2 linked regions of the Oryctolagus cuniculus genome follow. The protein of the gene in region 2 purifies or fractionates together with the protein of the main gene of each other region. This does not show direct contact. Links are inferred from orthologs where the notes say so. Each region holds a gene or a part of one and is shown on either strand. Other genes may lie near its edges.

Region 1 (4,491 bases), on a different chromosome or scaffold from region 2:
AATCACCAATTCAGGGCCAGCACTATGACGTAGCGGGTGAAGCCACCGCCTGCAGTGCTGGCATCCCATATGGTCGCCAGTTTGAGTCCCGGCTGCTCCACTTCCAATCCAGCTCTCTGCTGTGGCCTGGGAAAGCAGTGGAGGATGGTCCAAGTCCTTGGGCCCCTGCACCCACATGGGAGACCAGGAAGAAGCTCCTGGCTCCTGGTTTCAGATCAGCACAGCTCCAGCCGTTGCAGCCATTTGGGGAGTGAAACAGCAGATGGAAGATCTCTCTCTGTCACTCTCCCTCTCTGTAACTCTATCTTTTGAGTAAATGCTGATGGAAGAACTCCCTTCTCTCTGCCTCTGTGCCTTTCAAGTAGAAGAAATCAACCATTAAAAAAAATATAAAAACGCATAAGGGCCAGTGCTGTGGCCTAGCAGGTTGAGGCACTGCCTGCACCACTGGCATCCCACAGGGGCACTGGTTTGAGTTCCAGCTGCTCCACTTCTGATCCGGCTCCCTGCTAATGTACCTGGGATAGCAGCAGCGGATGGCCAAGGGTTTGGGCCCTTGCACCCACGTGGGAGACCTGGATGGAGCTCCTGGCTTTGGCCTGGCTCAACCTTGGCCGTGTGGTCATCTGGGGAGTGAACCAGCAGATGGAAGATCTCTCTGTAGCTCTGCCTTTCAAATAAAATAAGTTCTTAAAAAAATACCTACCAAATACAGGACATAACTGTATACACACAGTCTATCTAACTTCTGAACACGATTAAAGGCACGTCAATTACATTTTGTTCTGATCCCCAATTTTACAGGCTGAACCCCGCACAGGATACACCTCTACTCCGTATGACAACAAATGCAAAGCCAATGCTATGATTAAACACACGTTAAGAAAGTGATGGCCGGTGCTGTGGCACAGTGGGTTAAAGCCCGGGTCTGCAGTGCCGGCATCCCATATGGGTGCAAGTTCGAGTCCCGGCTGTTCCACTTCCGATCCAGCTCTATGCTATGGCCTGGGAAAGCAGTGGAAGATGGCCCAAGTGCTTGGGCCCCGGCACCTGAGTGGGAGACCTGGATGGAGCTCCTGGCTCCTGGCTTTGGATCTGTGAAGCTCCAGCCGTTGCAGCCATCTGGGGAGTGAACCAATGGACAGAAGACCTATCTCTCTCTCTGTAACTCTACTTTTCAAATAAATAATGAAACAAATATTTAAACAAGAAATCATTGTCGTTGAAGAATCTGTTTCCCATTTGTATTTATCTGGGAGTGACAGAGGAGAGAGACAAAGGCAGGCGATGGGGGGGTGGGGGGCAGAAAGAGCAGGATCTTCTACCCGCTGGTCCACTCCCCAAATGCCAACAGCTGGAGGTGGGCCAGGCCACAGCCAGGCGCCTGGAACTCCCCGTGGGTCTCCCGCGTGGGCGGCAGGGGCGCACAACAGCGCGCAGCAGCAGGAAGCTGGGTCGGAAGCTGCGCGTCCAGGACTCCAGCCGAAGCGGCGCTGCGATCCGGTGACCAGGCGGTCCGGAGCCGCAGTCTTCGAGCCGTACTGCCCGTGGCCTTGGCCTCGCGGGGCGCCTGCTGTTTCAGCTCCCTGAGGGGCTCCCCCGCTCCCCGCAAGCACACGCACCCCTGATGTACTCCGTGCGGCCCCTGGGAGTCAGGGGGCCCCCGACTGGGGGCTGGGAGAGGAAGAAGGAACTCAGAGGCGCCCCACACCAGGGTTGCCCAGGCTCCTGTCCCCAGACATCACGGCCCCAGCGACGCCCCGCCCCCCGCCCGGGACGCGCAGGGGGTCAAGGCGGGGGCTTGGCTCCTGGGCCGCAGGGCCCGGGGCGTCGCAGGCACCCACTTCTCAGATAGCGCCTGCTTTTAAAGCAGGCCTACGGCACCCCACCCGCGTCACCTGGGAACTCAGACGAGGGGCCCCTCGCCTCTCCTGCCGGCCTTTAAAGCGAGTCTCAACCCCCGCCAGCTTACACTTTTATTTCCGCCCTGCGTGTCCCAGAGAGCCTCCAGCCGGCTTACTCCACAGTCAGCCACAGGCGGCGGCCGCCCCGCGGGCCACCCCCCTGCCACCCAGCGGCCTCCCCGGCTCCGCCCTGGAGCTGAGCGCTGGGTGCACGCAGGCCTTGGCCCCGGCTGACCCCGGCGTGCGCAGGGCCCGGGGCTCCGGGTGGCTGCTGTGCCCTCCCGTGCGCCACGACCACCACCCCGCCGCGGGCCCCGGGCGCGCCCACCGCCCACCGGACGGCGTCGGGATAGGGAAGCCGCGGGAAGCCGGTCCGGGGCGCGCCCACCGCCCACCCAGGCCCACGGTCGGACCGGGAAGCCTCGGGAGCCGGGACGCCCCTCCACCGCCACCCCGGGGGTCGCAATGACCCCCGGACGCGGTCATTTAAACACTGGGCAGGGCACGGCTGGGGCGGACACGGGGGCGAGGAGGGCGGCAGGGGTGGGGAAGAGGCAGGGGGCGTGGGGGTCTCCGCCGGTGGATGCGCCTCTATCATTAGGAAGCGGTGCCTGGGAGGAGCGCCATTGCAAGAGAGGGGGGTCCTGGGGTTTGGGAGGGGGCGATGGGGGAGCGGGGGGGGCTAAGCGGACGGAGGGAGGGGGCCCCGGGGGGCTTCGGCCTGGCCACGGGGCGGCTCTCCACGGGGAGGTCGGGGTCAGGGTCGGCCCAGGGCTGGGGTGGGGGTCTCCGCACGGGTCCAGCCTCACCGTCCGCCAGGGCCTCACTGCACTCGAAGCTGATCTCGAACCGGAAGGGGCTGTGGAAAGGGCTCGGGTTCTCCAGCACCGACACGTTCAGCACGGACACCTTGGCCATCGTGTCGCCGGGAGCCGGGGTCGGGGGAGCGGGCAGAGGGGCAGCGTCACCGGCGGCCGCTCCCGCCTCCTCTCGCCGCGGACTGCAACGCGCACCGCGTCCGCGCGCCGCCTTCAAATCGCCGGCTCCGCCCTCTAGCCAATCACCGCAAACGCTCCGCGGCGGCGCGAGCGCCCCGTCAGCCAATCCGCGAGCGCCGCTGGCGCGCGCCCGGACTCCTCAAACCAATCCGCGGAGCTCCCTCTCCGCACGCGCGCGAGGGAGGCGGGACCAGCTGTGGGCTTCTCGCGGGGTGGCCGCGGGGAACCAATCCCCAGCGTCTCCGACTCGGATGGCGGGGGCGGGGATGGGCGGAGTCAGAGCCCGGCTCTCGGCCAATCCTGAGGGTTCCCGCACAGGCGGGGCCCGCCCCTTCTCGCAGCTTTTCCGAGAGACGCATCCTTGAGGGAGCAGCACCGCCAACGGCCGAGCGGTGGCGCGCGGCGCTCGCTTAAGAGCGTGGGAAGGGCGGGTACTCGCGGCCGCCGTGATTGGCAGGCAGGAGTGGGGCGGGGATAAAGCAGGCTTTTGGAGACCTAATTGGCTGAGGTGGCTGTGGGGGCGGGAGCAGAGGAAGGCGTGTCTGAGGATTCGCGGGAGAGGAGCGGAAGTCGGGGGCCGGCGCGGTGGAGGAGGCGCGGCGGGGATGCCGGTGCGTGTGTGCAGGTGGGCGTTTCGGGCCGGGGGCTCCGGCTGCTGAGGCCGTGCGCGGCCTGGGGGGTCTGCGGTGAGCGGACGCGGAGTCCCGGCCTGGGGAGTGGCGGTTCGGGTCCCGCTCCCGCCCAGTCAGGGACCGGACGGCTGCGGGGCCAGGGCCTAGGCGATCGTATTTCCAAATGTGTTATGGTGCATCCGAATTCCACCCCGAGCAGAGTTCTTAGCACGATGTTTTCTAGGCGTTTAACTAAACATTTATTTATTCTCACCTTGGTGAATTTTTTTTTTTTTTTTTTTTTTTTGCGCCGTCCGTTCCCGACCCCGGGGAAGGCCGTACCGGGGACTCCGTCTCCGATGCTGGGAGGAAGAGGAGCTGGCTGCGTGATTGTCGCTGAACCCCAGATCCCAGCGCCAAGCCCCAGAGGCGTATCCTGCTTAGCGGGGAACCGAGATCTCTGCAGTGGGCCCCGAGGCCCCGTCTCGCGCCTGTCACCCTCCCCGCCCTGCCCCTGCCCACCCCCGGGCTCCCTCCTGCTGCAGGGCCTTGTGCTCCCTCTGGGGCCGGCGCTGTGGCGCAGTGGGTAAAGCCGCCACCTGAAACACTGGCATCCTATATGGGCGCCGGTTCGAGTCCCGGCTGCCCCACTTCCCATCCAGCTCCCTGCTGTGGCCTGGGAAAGCAGGAGAAGATGGCCCAGGTGCTTGGGCCCCTGCACCCGCGTGGGAGACCCAGAGGAAGCTCCCAGCTCCCAACTTCCAGGCGTTGCAGCCATTTGGGGAGTGAACCAGCGGATGGAAGACCTCTCTCTCTCTGTCTCTCTCTCTCTCTCTGCCTCTCCTCTCTCTGTGTAACTCTGACTTCCAAATAAATAAATATTAAAAAAAAAATCCAGGATTGTGTGCTGTGTTGTACAATTTCACAGAAATGTTGGCAGCCCGGGCCTGACACCAGGCCTGTTTGCAAGGCTGGCCA
Region 2 (3,795 bases):
CCGCCCACTGCTGCCTGAAACCCACGAAGCGAGCAGCTTCCGGAGTTCACCTGCAGCAGGGAAGTCCAAGTTCCTAGTCCCAGAAACCCCTCCCATCTCCAGGCATCCTGAACTTGAAGCTGAGGCACTGGGGGAGTGCCTCAAAACAGCACGAGACATCCGGGAGCTAGGCCAAGGGGGCCCTTTTGGGTCTGCGGGCAGGGACGGGACCATGGGTGCTGGGGGAGGGCGCGGGACGCTCACCAATGTAGGGGCAGCAGGTGTAGAGCAGCTGCTGGTCCACCACAGGCACACTGTCCTGGGGGAGAACAGGCCAGTGTAGGCAGGCAGGCGGGCTTCCTGTCCCCCCAGCAGGCCCAGAAGCGGCCCGTCAGGAGGAGCTGATACAGGGTAAGCCCATCCTGCCCGTCCTGGCTGGGTCCTCCTGGACAGCCCACTTTCTTTACTTCTTGGACTTCCCGGGACTCTGGCTGGACCCCACACTCACCAAGCCATATTCTGAGGACACTGCGTCCACCTGGAAGCCATCTGACTGATCCTCTTCCGAAAAGAACAAGTCCTCTGGGACCGTGGGAATCTGGCAGAGAGGAGGCCATCCGAGCTGCAGGCGGCACCGCGGGGATGCGCAGCCTCCACTCTGCCTGCTTTAGGCGGCCGGTTCAGAGCAACCTCCTCTGAAGCGACGGCGCACCCTGGCCCTCTTGTCAACTCGCATCTTCTGGTCGCTGCCGCGCTAACTCAGAGGTCTGCACTCCCAGCCTCCCCCTCCTCCCCCGGCTCACCTGGAAAAGCCAGCCCAGGACAGCGAGCAGCAGCAGCTTGTTCAGGAAACACATCTCCCCTTCACGCTCCTGCGCCAAGACCAAGCTCCTGCGGGGCGAGTGGAAGGTGTGAACGGTCTCACTGGAGGATGTCCCCAGCGGCAGACCTAAGAGGGGCTGCTTCTGTGTGGGCAGCTGGCATCTCCTTGCTCTCCTCGTCCTCCCCCCCAACACCCAGATTCCTTCTCTGCTGGGCCACAGAGGAAAAAGGAAAGGGCAAACGACTGCCCACTGTCTGTCCCTCCGGGTGATGGCTGTCAAGGGCCACAGCCCTTCTCCACTCACCGGTGCAGGTGCAGCAGGAGACTAAAGATGCTGCGGTAGTAGTCCAGCAGGGGCACGATGTGGTCAGCAAAGGACAGGAACTCCACCAGCCAGGGCACGGTGAGCACAGCCCGGCGGGCCCGCAGCCCCTGCCACAGCAGGGTCCGCACATCCAGGACCGGTGGGACCTGGGAGAGGAGGGCTGGTCAGAGGGCGGGCACCTGGCGGGGCCGGGCAGTGCCTTCTAGGCCGCCTGGTTTCCAGAACAGCCCAGGAAAGCAGCCAGCGCCCGAGCCGACTGGCCCTCCCGGCTCCCTCTGCCAGGATCTCCCGCCCATTCACCTGGCTCCTGAGGGCCAGGATGGAGTCCTGAAGCTCACGGGTTGGGGGTGGTTCAGGCCCGCGATATGGCAGGAAAGCCACAAAGCCCAGGAATTTGGCCAAAAGCCTCAGGCTGAGCAGCACCATAGCAAACTGTCTCCGTTCACCCTGTATGGAATGAAGGGAAATAACAGGTCCTACGCGCAAGGCTTCTAGAGCAATTCCAAGCCTGTCACCAAGCGTCCTTGGAACACACTCCTCTGCTTTGAGGCCAGACCCCGCACTGCCCGCGTTCCGCTTCCTCACCTGCCAGTCGACATCTGCCTCCCCTTCGTCATCATTAGGCTCATGCGGAGGCAGGGTGAGGCCGTTGAGCTCTCTGATCTTCAAGCTCAGGCTATCCATAAGATGCTGATTAAACTGGAAGCTGGACGGGAGGGGAGAGCAAGAAGAAAAAAAGAAGAAATAAAAAGGCAGTGGAAGAGGTTCAGGCAGATCAGCACTGAGAGGTGCCCTGGCAGGAAGGATTAATGGGGGAGATGGGAGGCTGAGAAGTGGGATCACCCACGCCAGGGAGAGAATGGGAAGTGAAATGGAGGGGCAGAGTCTAGGGATCTCTGCTTCCTGCCCTGCAAAAGGTGGGGCACCTCTACCTGCTGGCGCTCAGGATGAAGTCTCTGAAGAAGCCTTGACAGCCCGGGAAGGTGGGGGGTGGGCAGGGCCCCCCACTGCTCTGAGGGGCCACAAGTCGCTCCTGTAGACGCCGCAACCGCCCCAGCTTGTCAGCTCCCAGCATACTGAGCACATCTGGAGCTTCGCCCAACACAGTGCCCCCAGCACCACCTGGGCTCTGACACATCTGGGCAGGGCGAGAGAGGAGCGAAACCAAAAACAGTGCATGGGAGACAGACCGAACAAAATGAGAGATGAACATCTACAGAACGCCTACTCTGTCAGCGCCTGAGGCAGCATTGAGGGAGGGCTTACACTCTTGTTTCAGAGGTAAGGGAACAAACTAAGCTGAAAGGATTTGCCTAGGGGCTACGAGAGCTGGGATGTGAAACCAGGCCTCTTAACCTGGGCCCTTCCTACCACACCAAGGAAAAGGGTGGGGAGATGGTGCGGGCCAAGGCGCTGTTACCTGGAGAAGCTGTTTTTGGAAAAGTCGAACAAAGTGGCTGTGGCTGCAGGCTGCCGAGAGCTGGCCCATCATGGCTCTAGGGAGGAAGAGTCAGGAAGAGTGTACAAGAGGGAGGCGGGGAGACTGCTGAGAACAGGCCAGCCCCTGGGCTCTTCAGCCTTCACCTGCCACAGCGGGCCTGCCCAGGGGTATGGGCAAGGAGAGGGGCACTGCCCTCAGAACCCAGGGTCTGCGAGGCTAGAGACAAACCAAACCCAGCAAGCCATCGCTGCCCCCAGTAACTCTGCAGTGGTCGCCAAGAACCAGTGAGCTTCCAGATAGGAAACCCACTCTGCCGCCTGCTCATCTACCCAGACCCAGCATCAGGGCGGCCCAAACTAGACGACGCAGAAAACAAAGGCTGGAGGGTCTGTCCAGTGATTTGGGTCAAAACAAGCAACTTGGATTACAAGCTTTGTTCTTTTCCGAGGGCCTGCCATTAGCAAACAAGCAGAAGGAGCTGGGAGACACACCCCTCCAGAGCGGAGGCAGGGCTGTTGGTGCTGGAGGTGAGGAGGTGGGGAGGACCGCAAAGCCTCCTGCCATCATCTCCCCACATGTCACGGAGCGCCCACTGGCAGGAGAGGAAAGACCCGGTGACCAGCGGCGGAGCACCCACCTGATCCTGCTACCCAGGCCCTTCTCAAAGTCCCAGCCGGGCTCCTCGTGGTGATCTTCCCATTCTCGAAGCACCTCATAAAACACATCCCTGACAGACACACAAGAATCCTGATCAGCTGAGGCATGGCTGCTGCTACCTCACTCTTCTCACGTGGAACACTGAGGGCAGGACTCTGCCCAGTCCCATGTCTTAACCTCAAAGTCCCTTATAGGATGACAATGTCACAGACCCAGCACAGCACACCACAGGCTCACACCCTCTGTGCACACTGAGAGGTAGTCCTGCCCAGGAACCCTGAGATTAAAGACCCTTAAGAGGGCCTGCTAGGCTCAGGGATTCAAGTCCACGGGCACAAAACAGAATAAGGTCAACTGGCCCTTGGGATGGCGAGGAAGGGCCTGGTGGTACCAACCCACTGGTTAGTGCCAAACTCCCAGTTTCTGTGACAACAAAACAACTGCCTATTCCAGAGAGACTGCCACCTACTCCCTCCCAGAGTTCCCCTTTCCCATCACCTCTGCTTTTTGAAAGTATGAAAGGCTCGGTCACTGGAGAAGTTGGCACGATTGTCAGTTTCCGGCTGAAAG

Evidence for each region.
Region 1: the proteins of CDAN1 (region 2) and ASF1B purify together in Homo sapiens (co-immunoprecipitation; 5 studies listed by BioGRID and IntAct, counting the BioPlex papers as one, with this or other methods). This does not show direct contact. The link is inferred for Oryctolagus cuniculus from reciprocal best matches to the Homo sapiens genes CDAN1 and ASF1B.

The regions. Positions count from the first base shown.
Region 1 is NC_091447.1:62,994,025-62,998,515, forward strand, and holds the start of ASF1B (histone chaperone ASF1B), read right to left. Parts: upstream 2,936-4,491; 5' UTR 2,823-2,935; coding exon 2,714-2,822; intron 1-2,713. UniProt on the Homo sapiens protein: Histone chaperone that facilitates histone deposition and histone exchange and removal during nucleosome assembly and disassembly. Cooperates with chromatin assembly factor 1 (CAF-1) to promote replication-dependent chromatin assembly.
Region 2 is NC_091443.1:65,740,879-65,744,673, forward strand, and holds part of CDAN1 (codanin-1), read right to left. Parts: coding exon 3,724-3,795; intron 3,296-3,723; coding exon 3,206-3,295; intron 2,624-3,205; coding exon 2,548-2,623; intron 2,266-2,547; coding exon 2,060-2,265; intron 1,834-2,059; coding exon 1,713-1,833; intron 1,575-1,712; coding exon 1,428-1,574; intron 1,274-1,427; coding exon 1,107-1,273; intron 871-1,106; coding exon 783-870; intron 578-782; coding exon 488-577; intron 299-487; coding exon 244-298; intron 51-243; coding exon 1-50. UniProt on the Homo sapiens protein: May act as a negative regulator of ASF1 in chromatin assembly.